Arabidopsis thaliana: one gene and its partner. The protein of the gene in region 1 purifies or fractionates together with the protein of each later gene. This does not show direct contact. Each region holds a gene or a part of one and is shown on either strand. Other genes may lie near its edges.

The links.
Region 2: the proteins of CPSF73-I (region 1) and CLPS3 purify together in Arabidopsis thaliana (affinity purification with western blotting, with the first as the bait; one study listed by BioGRID). This does not show direct contact.

What each region holds. Positions count from the first base shown.
Region 1 is NC_003070.9:22,473,507-22,479,706, reverse strand, and holds CPSF73-I (cleavage and polyadenylation specificity factor 73-I), read left to right. Parts: upstream 1-1,941; 5' UTR 1,942-2,046; coding exon 2,047-2,190; intron 2,191-2,282; coding exon 2,283-2,380; intron 2,381-2,687; coding exon 2,688-2,733; intron 2,734-2,822; coding exon 2,823-2,972; intron 2,973-3,109; coding exon 3,110-4,753; 3' UTR 4,754-4,777; exon of another isoform or gene 4,778-5,037; 3' UTR 5,038-5,077; exon of another isoform or gene 5,078-5,159; 3' UTR 5,160-5,440; downstream 5,441-6,200. Other genes in the region: AT1G61030 (WAPL (Wings apart-like protein regulation of heterochromatin) protein), read right to left, coding at 358-470, 684-1,023, 1,126-1,225, 1,329-1,738; AT1G61000 (kinetochore protein), read left to right, coding at 5,661-5,824, 6,079-6,200. UniProt on the Arabidopsis thaliana protein: Component of the cleavage and polyadenylation specificity factor (CPSF) complex that play a key role in pre-mRNA 3'-end formation, recognizing the AAUAAA signal sequence and interacting with poly(A) polymerase and other factors to bring about cleavage and poly(A) addition.
Region 2 is NC_003074.8:1,269,081-1,274,726, reverse strand, and holds CLPS3 (CLP-similar protein 3), read left to right. Parts: upstream 1-1,722; 5' UTR 1,723-1,922; exon of another isoform or gene 1,923-2,203; 5' UTR 2,204-2,311; coding exon 2,312-2,533; intron 2,534-3,013; coding exon 3,014-3,082; intron 3,083-3,163; coding exon 3,164-3,259; intron 3,260-3,344; coding exon 3,345-3,586; intron 3,587-3,671; coding exon 3,672-3,810; intron 3,811-3,918; coding exon 3,919-4,110; intron 4,111-4,197; coding exon 4,198-4,436; intron 4,437-4,538; coding exon 4,539-4,674; 3' UTR 4,675-4,966; downstream 4,967-5,646. Other genes in the region: ANX1 (Malectin/receptor-like protein kinase family protein), read left to right, coding at 1-1,341. UniProt on the Arabidopsis thaliana protein: Required for endonucleolytic cleavage during polyadenylation-dependent pre-mRNA 3'-end formation. Functions in gametophyte, embryo and postembryotic development.

The DNA of each region.
Region 1 (6,200 bases):
CAAAATATGCAATAGAGACTCTTATTAAATACAGTTGCAAAGGTCCAGTAACTATTGACAACTTAAGTACAGAGTCTTTGCCACCACTAAGACAGACATCCAACTTGTCCACAACAAACGCAGTCACAATAACATTAAACTGTGTTACACAAACAAGAGAATTCTCTTGCCCAAGGACAAGAAAAGAACCTTGACTTGCAACGATTTTCAGCAATAAATTAGATTGAAATAAAACATGAACCTGAAGATAGCAAACAATTATAAAGCTACCAATCTACGACACTTTACACAAGTTATTGACGTCCTAGCCAAATAAAGACATATATAGCAAGATCCCTATAACATACAGGTTCACACCTCCATTACAGTGTGGCAATCCATAACAACATCAAAGACAGCATCAAGTCCTCCAAGTTCTCTCAGTTTCTCCTTGAACATTCCTCCAGATTTTTTCACAGTACCAGAGGTATCTGGATGGGGAATGATAATATCAATAATTAGAAATTTATAAATCAATTATAATCTGGTCGTAGGATTCTATTACCGCTGACACATTTGTTAAACTGATTCACTGAAGCAGATAACATAACTTTCCAATTCTATAACTCAATATAATATACCAGATGCGTCTTAAATAGTTAGCTAGTCATTGTTCCAGCAAAACAGACAGGAAGTTAAAGTACCATCAAAAGAGATTTTGGACAAGCACGCCTTCTCCATCACCAACAAAGCTACCCATTTCGTACTTAGCTCAGGCCTCATCCTCTCGATTTTATAGCTATCAATCAATCTCAACTCCTTGCAATTAACAAGAATTTCCTGAGCTCTGTCAATTATATCACAGGAGCTTAAATCATGCATACTGGCTGCATCACGTGCTGCATCAACATCCTTGATTATTGATAAGAGCCTAGATCCTATATTCCGCGGCTTTACTTTAGTACTGGCAGAAACCACAGGTCTCAACAGCTTAACCAAAAACTTGATGGAGTTGGGTGACTCCATAAAGTGATCATCTTGACCCTAGAATCATGAACATAAAACTAGTAAACAAGAGAAAAATGCCAATGGAGCAAGAGAAAAGAGCATCACAAGCAGATTTCACAATGCAAATAAGTTACTTACATCAGTAGTTAGCACAAAGAAAAGGGTAGCTGCAGCAAGATTGCTTGGTATGTCATCAAGGCAAAGACCCAAAATCGCATCAATTATGGACTGTGAGATCCTGAAATAACAAAATTCAGAAACTTTTAAAAGAACTCGACTTCAAACAAACCCTAGAAAGTCTAGAAAGGAAGATACTGAAAATCTTAAGTAAATAAACATACCCTAAAGCTCTCAAAGAGCGTCGCTGATACTGAGATTCACAAATCGAGAGTAGAGAGGACAAAGCAGCTCTTCTGATCCTAACTTTATGTCCTTTCTTCAACCCATCAAGAGCGAAGTTAACTTCGTCCTCATTCTCAATTAACTCGCCGAACTCTTGAGCCTCCATCAAAGTCGAATTCGAACCAAACCCTCCACCACCGTTTCTGGGTCTCTTGTTCCTCTTCTCAGAAAAATCATTATCCGAAAAAGTGGATCTTGAAGAATAATTCCAGACACAAGATGATTCTTGAGTTGAGAAATCAACTGGCTCGAGTTCTGGAGATGAAGAAGACGGAAAAATATGTTCCGCCCGCGAGACGTCGTCGTTTAACATCCCCGGCTTGCGACGGCCGTAAGTTCGCTCCATCATCGCCGAGAAAGCTTCGAATTTTCTCTTCGTTCGCAGATTTGAGTGACAAAATAAGACAAGGGTATTTTCGGTATATAATATGACTTTCTATATAAATATAATATTTTCAATTGCTATGTATTGACCGCATAGCGCAGTGGATTAGCGCGTCTGACTTCGGATCAGAAGGTCGTGGGTTCGACTCCCACTGTGGTCGTTTTTTTTTTTTTAAAGGCTTTTAGGGTTTGAAGATATACACTAACTGAAATTGCTGTACTCAGTTCTTTGAGTTTCTTCTTCTCTTGGAGGAAAATCGAGAAAGACGAAACATGGCTTCTTCTTCTACTTCTCTGAAAAGAAGAGAGCAACCAATTTCGCGAGATGGAGATCAACTTATCGTTACTCCGTTAGGAGCCGGAAGTGAAGTGGGTCGTTCCTGTGTTTACATGTCCTTCCGAGGCAAAAATATTCTGGTCAGCTTCTCCGTTTTGTTCTAATCAAGCAAATGTGTTTTGATTTTGTTGTTGGGGCATGTCTTATAGTTGATTTTGGTTGTGTTGTGCAGTTTGATTGTGGGATTCATCCTGCGTACTCGGGCATGGCTGCGTTGCCTTACTTCGATGAGATTGATCCTTCTTCCATTGATGTCCTCTTGATTACTCAGTATGTTTCCTTCTTCTTCCTCTTTTGGCTAATACCCATTAAGAAAAATTGAAACTTTGAAGAGAAAATGATAGTCTTGATTTGAATAGAATGATAATTTGAGCAAAATCTTCGAAGTTTAAGTTTGTTTATACAAAAACAGAAGGATGATGTGTAGTAGAGAGACCTTCTTGGATTAATTAGTTCAAGCTTGTAGGAGGCTAGAGTTTGTTCTGTCTCTGTTTGTCTACTTGAAAGAGTTTGTGTTTTGTGTAAGAGGTTTATTGGGTTAAGATAACATATAATGTGTTGATGCTTTTGGTTGCAGCTTTCATATAGATCATGCAGCATCTCTACCTTATTTTCTGGAGAAGGTTTGTTTCTCTTTTCAAAATGATTTTGTTTTTTGGGATGTGTTAAAACATAGCTGAGAACTAATTCAGGTTATTGATGTTTTGATCAGACGACATTCAATGGGCGGGTTTTCATGACACATGCAACAAAGGCCATCTACAAGCTGTTGCTTACAGATTATGTAAAAGTGAGCAAAGTGTCTGTGGAAGATATGTTGTTCGATGAACAAGACATCAACAAGTCTATGGACAAAATTGAGGTTAGTACTGCATTATATTCTATGACTATGTTTATACTTTGACTGCTCCACTAGGTTTGGGATAAGTTCAAAAGAAATTAAATCTGCTTCAAAACTGTGATTGTTGAGTTAAGGTTTATATTTGATTTCCTCTATAGGTAATTGACTTCCATCAAACAGTTGAAGTGAATGGCATAAAGTTCTGGTGTTACACGGCAGGCCATGTTTTGGGTGCAGCCATGTTTATGGTGGATATAGCTGGTGTCCGAATCCTCTATACAGGCGACTATTCCCGTGAGGAAGACCGACATCTGAGAGCAGCTGAGCTTCCTCAATTCTCCCCTGACATATGCATCATTGAATCCACTTCTGGTGTCCAGCTTCATCAATCTCGTCATATTCGTGAGAAACGCTTCACTGATGTAATCCATTCAACGGTTGCTCAGGGTGGACGTGTGCTGATCCCGGCTTTTGCACTGGGCCGTGCTCAGGAACTTCTCTTGATTCTTGATGAATACTGGGCGAACCACCCAGATCTACACAATATCCCAATCTACTATGCATCACCACTCGCCAAAAAGTGTATGGCGGTTTACCAAACCTACATATTATCTATGAACGACAGAATCCGCAACCAGTTTGCAAATTCTAATCCGTTTGTGTTCAAGCACATTTCTCCATTAAACAGCATCGATGATTTTAATGATGTCGGTCCATCTGTGGTAATGGCTACTCCTGGAGGTCTTCAAAGCGGTCTCTCAAGGCAACTCTTTGACAGCTGGTGTTCAGATAAGAAGAATGCTTGTATCATACCAGGTTATATGGTGGAAGGTACACTGGCCAAGACGATAATTAATGAACCAAAGGAGGTGACTCTTATGAATGGTCTTACTGCTCCGCTCAACATGCAAGTGCACTATATATCGTTCTCTGCTCATGCAGATTACGCGCAGACGAGCACGTTCTTGAAAGAGCTCATGCCTCCTAACATCATCCTTGTTCACGGTGAAGCTAACGAGATGATGAGGCTCAAACAGAAGCTCTTAACAGAGTTTCCTGATGGAAACACAAAGATCATGACCCCGAAGAACTGTGAGTCAGTGGAAATGTATTTTAATTCTGAGAAATTGGCGAAAACCATTGGGAGATTGGCGGAAAAGACACCTGATGTTGGCGATACAGTAAGCGGGATTCTGGTGAAGAAAGGGTTCACTTATCAGATAATGGCACCTGACGAACTCCATGTTTTCTCACAGCTATCAACAGCAACTGTAACTCAGCGAATTACAATCCCGTTTGTAGGAGCTTTTGGTGTGATAAAACATCGCCTGGAGAAGATTTTCGAGAGCGTGGAATTTTCAACAGATGAGGAATCGGGGCTTCCAGCACTGAAAGTTCATGAAAGAGTAACGGTGAAACAAGAGTCAGAGAAGCACATCTCACTTCAGTGGTCATCAGATCCAATAAGTGACATGGTTTCAGACTCCATTGTAGCTCTGATTCTCAACATCAGCCGAGAAGTCCCCAAGATCGTTATGGAAGAAGAAGATGCTGTGAAATCCGAGGAAGAGAACGGGAAGAAAGTTGAGAAAGTGATATACGCACTTCTTGTTTCGCTTTTCGGGGATGTGAAACTAGGAGAAAACGGGAAACTGGTGATTAGGGTCGATGGCAATGTCGCTCAGCTGGATAAAGAGAGTGGAGAGGTAGAGAGTGAGCATTCAGGTCTTAAGGAAAGAGTGAGAGTAGCTTTTGAGCGGATTCAGAGCGCTGTGAAACCAATCCCTCTCTCAGCTTCTTAGTAGCTTTTTAAAGTCATCGTTGAGGTATCTTAAATCATCATAGAGTTTTATCCATCTGATGATGTTTCTGTTCCCATGTTTAGTAATAGTGAATGATCAAGTCTAATGGATGTTATTTAAGAAGGTGTTTATTGAGAAACTTTGCTACTACCCTACTGTGATAATGATCAAGTCTTATGGATGTTATCAACTATGAGTTTTTAACTTTTTTAGGTTTTTTCATAAATCATTTTGCTGATTCGTGCTTTTCCCATATGCATTTTTCTATCATTATGCTGATCTAGGATATGGAAGCAAAAGCTTTGTGGTGCATCAAGTTAAGAGGTTTCTAAAGTTAAAAAAGTACTAGGCTTCTTCCAGATTCTTTGTAAGACATATTAGTGAGCCTTGCTTTTGATATTTGCAGTTTCATGAATACACGGTGTCGTTTGATGCGTTTCTACCAAGCCTCTAAAGTACAAGGCAGGTCTGATTGAGCTAAAGTAAGGTAGAAGAGAGATTGTAATGAGCACATTTTCTATTATTTTTCCACGTACAAAGTATACATTATTCACATCAGTGAATGTCTCTTGACCTCTATGTTTTGGCAAGATGTCTAGTGCATCAAGATATTAAGACCAAATCTCTACAATATTAAAATGCTTAATTTTTTTTTTTGTAGATTAAAGTTTCTTTTTTAATTTTATTTATAAAAGCTTCTACGTTCTACCGTATCCAAATATGCATCAATATCTGCAGAGACTGCAGTTTCATATAGGCGGGAAAAGCAAATGCAAAAAACAAATCGAACCTGACCCAACTAAAATCAAAGGCTCTCTTTTTTTTTTTTCATTTCTTTCCAAATTGTCATTTTCAGTTTCTTCGAATCCAGACACAACAAATCCGAACCTGACCAAAACTGAAAACTATGTCAGCCTACGAGTACCCGAGGCTCTCTCGTTCCGACATTATCACGGCGCTCAAGGATGCTCAAATCGCTAGCGTTACAGAGACCGATCTCAAAACCCCAACTTCCGACTTTGTCTCCGAGCTTTACACCAGAATTCTTATCTATCTCGACGCCCTCGACGAGTATGTACTCCTCAAAACCCTAGTTCCTCTCTTAGCTCTTCACTCAATTTTACCCTCGATTTTGAAACTCTTCGTCTAGTTTCGAGCTAGGTCATCGAATTCTGTCAGAAATTATGTTAAATATTGAATCTTTGGGATTTTCTATTTTTGATTGTATGAACTGCTAAGTAATTTTGAAAACCCTATTTTTTGTTTCAATTTGGGGGAATTTCTGATGATGCTTCTTTTTTGAATTGCGTTTTTCGACATTGTAGAGAAGAGAAAGGGCAAGTTGATTTTGAGGCTTTGGAGCAATTGGAGAATCCAGATCATCATGCCACTTCAATGCAAGCTATGAAGCTTTATTGCAAAGTGAAAGATATGTTAGAAATGCTTG
Region 2 (5,646 bases), on another chromosome or scaffold:
GGTCCAAACCCCGAGCCATCGCCTATGCAAGCTGAGGAAGAGGTTAAAAAAGAATTCAAGAACGAAAAGAGACACGCTTTCATCATTGGTTCGGCCGGAGGAGTTTTAGCGGTTTTAATCGGTGCCTTGTGTTTCACGGCCTACAAGAAGAAACAAGGATATCAAGGAGGCGACTCTCACACATCAAGTTGGCTTCCTATATATGGAAACTCTACCACATCAGGAACCAAATCAACCATCTCAGGGAAGAGCAACAATGGAAGTCACCTATCCAATCTCGCAGCAGGTTTATGCCGTAGATTCTCTTTACCAGAAATCAAACACGGAACACAAAACTTCGATGATTCCAACGTCATTGGAGTTGGAGGGTTTGGTAAAGTCTACAAAGGAGTTATAGACGGCACAACTAAAGTAGCGGTAAAAAAATCAAACCCAAATTCAGAACAAGGACTCAACGAATTCGAGACAGAAATCGAACTCCTCTCAAGACTAAGACACAAACACTTAGTCTCCTTGATAGGATACTGCGACGAGGGAGGAGAAATGTGTCTCGTATACGATTACATGGCATTTGGAACACTCCGTGAGCATCTATACAACACAAAGAAACCACAATTAACTTGGAAACGAAGGCTAGAGATAGCTATTGGAGCAGCAAGAGGATTACATTACCTTCACACAGGAGCAAAGTACACGATTATACACAGAGACGTTAAAACAACTAACATCCTCGTAGATGAGAACTGGGTAGCCAAAGTTTCAGACTTTGGGTTATCCAAAACTGGACCTAACATGAATGGAGGCCATGTAACAACCGTCGTCAAAGGAAGCTTCGGTTATTTAGATCCTGAATACTTCAGAAGACAACAACTGACTGAGAAATCAGACGTTTACTCATTCGGAGTTGTTCTGTTCGAAATCTTATGCGCAAGACCAGCGTTAAACCCGAGTTTGCCTAAGGAACAAGTGAGTCTCGGAGACTGGGCAATGAATTGCAAACGAAAAGGGAATTTAGAGGATATAATCGATCCGAATCTGAAAGGGAAGATCAATGCAGAGTGTTTGAAGAAATTTGCAGACACGGCGGAGAAGTGTCTTAACGATAGTGGATTAGAACGGCCGACAATGGGAGATGTTTTGTGGAATCTCGAATTCGCACTTCAGCTTCAAGAGACTGCTGACGGGACTCGTCATCGGACTCCGAATAATGGAGGAAGCTCTGAGGATCTCGGTAGAGGAGGCATGGCGGTTAACGTCGCCGGTAGAGATGATGTGAGTGATCTCTCCTCAGAGGACAATACCGAAATATTCTCTCAGATTGTAAATCCCAAAGGACGATAAGGTAATTTCGCAATACGTATACTAATTTTGTTTTTCTTCTCTTAATTTTGGTGTTAAAGTTTTTGTTTTTGTGTTAATTGCAGGATTAGAAAAGGAATCTGGGTAACAAAATTTGAAGATGATTTCATTTATATTGAGTGGTATTTTTCAATAAAAACATTTGTAAAATTATATCCCTTTGTGATGTTACATGTAATCAAAAATACATTGTATTAAGATTCGTAGTTAGAATTTTTCTATGGTAAATTTTTGTATTAAGTTATATTTTACTGAGTTTATTAAGCTAGAAACAAATTATTATATTAACCGGAAAACTGTATAGTAGAAAAATGGAAAAGGTTGTTCAGGTCGGTTAACGGCTCAAACCGGGATTAATTCGTTTTCCAATTTTGCCTTAATCGAAAAAATGGAAATTACAGCGATATAAACCTAAAGTAAATTGATTTCGTAAGTCGAATTCACTGTTTCTCCTCAAACACACACACACGTTTGCGAATCTCCGACGTCCGTTTCTCCTCGCCGTAGAATCGCCGTTCATTCTTTCGCCGCCTTCAGTCTTCCCTCCATTGACCCTTTTTTTGGTAATTCGTCTTCTTTTTGCTCTCTCGTTCTCTCTTTTTCGATTTCTGGGTACAGAAATCGATGGCTCTCGTTTTTCTTTCTCTGTTGCTGTTCTATTACTTTCTCTTATATATATATGATTGTTACTCTAGTGATGAATTTTGATACATTGGTTGTTTGAAATTGATCTCTGTTGTGCTTTTATAATTCCGGGGTCAAGATTGGCTGTTTAAATCTAGTAAAGTTTGCATTTTTCTTTTCTGTTTGCAGAGATTAACTTGATTATACTTTTGTTTTTAAGAAGAAGAAGAGCGATTACAAGCGCAAGTGTGTATAATGACTTAAAGAGAGCTCCTGTTACTCCGAGTGATAGATAGTCTACAATTATATCTTACTCTGAGTGAAAGCAATGGCGTACGGTGGTCCGTCCATGAATCCACCGGCTTTGAGTGGAGCTGTTCCCGGGTCTGCTAATCTGAAGCAAGTGAAATTGGAGAGAGAAAGCGAGCTCAGGATCGAAGTCTCTGAAGAGCCTCTCAGACTCCGTGTGGTTAACGGGACCGCTGAGATTTTTGGCTCTGAACTGCCTCCTGAAATATGGCGTACCTTCCCTCCTCGCATGAAATTTGCGGTATGTGTTTTCTTAATCCTTGGTTTTTAGAGCGATCGTAAGCATTATGCTTTATGGCTTATAGATAAAATGTAGCTTGTTGGTAACATATTTGGTGTTGGGTTTGTTGGTAGAAAATAACTAGCCATTCTTGATTTAGTTTCTTTTAGTGGTTATCTTTCTTAAAGTGGGTTCTTGAGTTACTATTGAATTCACCCTCTGGCCTTTTGGGGTTGGAAAGGTACATCCTTTGCCAGTGAAGTTTGAGGGTTTTTGGGTTTGAGTTGGATGAAAGACTTATGATTTAGGTTGTAAATGAAGATTATGCTGTCTAGGTAAGAATTGTTAAGTGGGTTGTATAAAAAGATTGATGATAGATGTGATTTTCCCCCCCAATTTCTTTCTTTTCTATTTTTCCTTCTGCTAATGATTTATGTAAAGTTCATAATCGGAGCTCTGAAACACCGTGCTTACCATCTTGTGCCTTTTGATTATTGTCAGGTTTTCACTTGGTATGGAGCGACAATTGAGATGGATGGTGTCACGGAAACTGACTATACAGCAGATGAGGTTGGATTACTTGTTTCATTCCTACGCTTGCTTTAAATATGTAGAGCAAATTTTGTTTACTAACTACATCTCTGTTTCCAGACGCCGATGGTCAGCTACATTAATGTGCATGCCATACTAGATGCAAGGAGACGTTTTGCCAAAGCTTCCACATCTAATGACCCAGAATCTTCTCAGGTACTTTTCTTCGATATTCAATATTATTGTATTGCAATATCAGCATAGTTAAAACACTTGGTTCTTAAGAATTCACTTAATGCAGGGACCTCGGGTTATTGTAGTAGGGCCTACGGATTCCGGGAAGAGCACATTGACAAAGATGCTCCTTAGTTGGGCAGCTAAACAGGGATGGAGACCTACATTTGTAGACCTTGATGTTGGCCAAGGCTCGATTACAATACCAGGATCTATTGCTGCTGCCCCTATTGAAATGCCACTGGATCCAGTTGAAGGGTTTCCTCTTGATATGGCCCTTGTTTACTACTACGGCCACGCATCACCAAAGTAAGTGATTCTCAAATTTCTCCTACCCATCATACGTTATTCCCCTCGATGAGGAATTTAAATATGTCTACTTTGGCTCTCTCAGTATGAACGTTGAACTGTACAAAGCTCTGGTGAAAGAGCTTGCTCAAGTTCTGGAGAAACAGTTTGTCGGAAACCCTGAATCGCGAGCTGCTGGAATGGTGATCAACACAATGGGATGGATCGAGGGGATTGGTTATGAGGTAAAAGTTAGATCCTTTTTAGCGTATTTTTTGGTATAGTTAGCTCCTTCTTAGTGGATTTCATTATGCAAATGCCTGATAAAGAACTGTATCTGCTTCGTCTTGCAGCTGCTTCTCCACGCAATAGACACATTCAATGCCTCGGTTGTACTTGTATTGGGTCAGGAAAAACTCTTCAGCAGGCTTAAAGATGTGCTGAGAAGTAAGAGTAATGTCGACGTCGTGAAGCTTCACAAGTCTGGTGGAGTTGTAGCCAGGGTCAAAGAGGTCCGTAAAAGATCAAGGAACTTTAAGATTCAGGTAAAATTTTCAATCTCAAATCTTTTAATATCCCTTTTTTCATGCCTTTGGAGGTGTAACTCAGAACTCAAAAACTGAATTTTCCAGGAATATTTTTACGGTTTATCGAAAGAACTCTCTCCGTATGCCAATACATCGAGTTTCAGTGATCTGCAAGTGTTCCGAATTGGTGGTGGACCACAAGCGCCAAAATCGGCTCTTCCAGCCGGGTCTACCTCGGTTTCAAATCCGTTGCGGGTGACGCCTGTAAATATCGATGATCGGGATCTGCTGCATTCTGTTCTTGCTGTCTCATACGCAGAAGAACCAGACCAGATCATCTCAAGGTAATCTCTAAAAGTTCTTGCTGTTTCCAGAATCAAAGGCTTTCGTGTATGTTTTCTTCGTGATTTTGATATTTCTTTCTCTCTGTTTTTTCTTTGATACAGCAATGTTTCTGGGTTTGTGTATGTGACGGAAGTTAATGTGCAGAAGAAGAAGATAACGTATTTAGCACCATCGCCTGGGACATTACCTAGCAAGTTGTTGGTCGCTGGATCATTGGCATGGCTTGAGTCAGTATGACTTACTTAGAGAAGAGAGGAGCCATGTTTTTTGCTTGAGAGAATGATGCAGCAGCTCGATTATGTAACGTTAATTACAAATAGCCTTTTTCTTCTTTATCAAATGCACAAGTTTTTGAGTTTAAAAGATCATTATTGCGGAATAGATGGTTGGTTGTAATTTGATGTTATGAAGTGAGCAAAAAATAATGTTGATTTACTAGTGCGTTAGTTCTGTTTGTTTGGTTCAGCATATTCAAGTGATGTGTGTAGCATTTTTAAATTTGATAGGTCGAACATATCTTATGTTATTGGATGATTTCGAAATAGTATATGATAATGTTCAAAGTCACACATGTATTATTATTGGTTATTAATTCAACTAAATTACTATCACATTTTAAGTCACTTCAATTGTATTGTTGTATAAGCTCTGTATTTAGAATCGGATCCGAAGAATATTAGTTGGTCTGTCTAACCAAGTCGCATTAATCTTATATGATTCTCCTAGAATAGAAAAGAATATTTTATTCTTATGCTAATTCAATTGAAAGATAATTAAAACGGATATGTTTTGAGTTCAAAATGTTAAAATTGTCATTCATTTGCAATAGACAAAACATATTTAGAAAATTCTAAATTTACATGCTACAAGATCTTCTATATGCTTTAATAGCCTCATTTTTTTTTTTAACCCTGCACATTAAATACAGAAAATTTCAATCATTTGACTGATGATTAGAGATTTATAGATATAAGAAGAAAGTTTCACTTATCATTGTGAATATGATAAAACAAGAATAATAAAAATATCGTATAATTAACAACAAGAACAACAAACACAAAAAAAAAAACAGAAAGAAAGAAAACAAAAAAGAGCTAGTCAACAATCGTGATTCGTGATACAACGTGCTAGAGAGACGACCAGATGAGATAGGGCACGTGTCGAAATCTATACCGTTACTTTTCTAACTCCGTGCTCGGAATTCGAAAT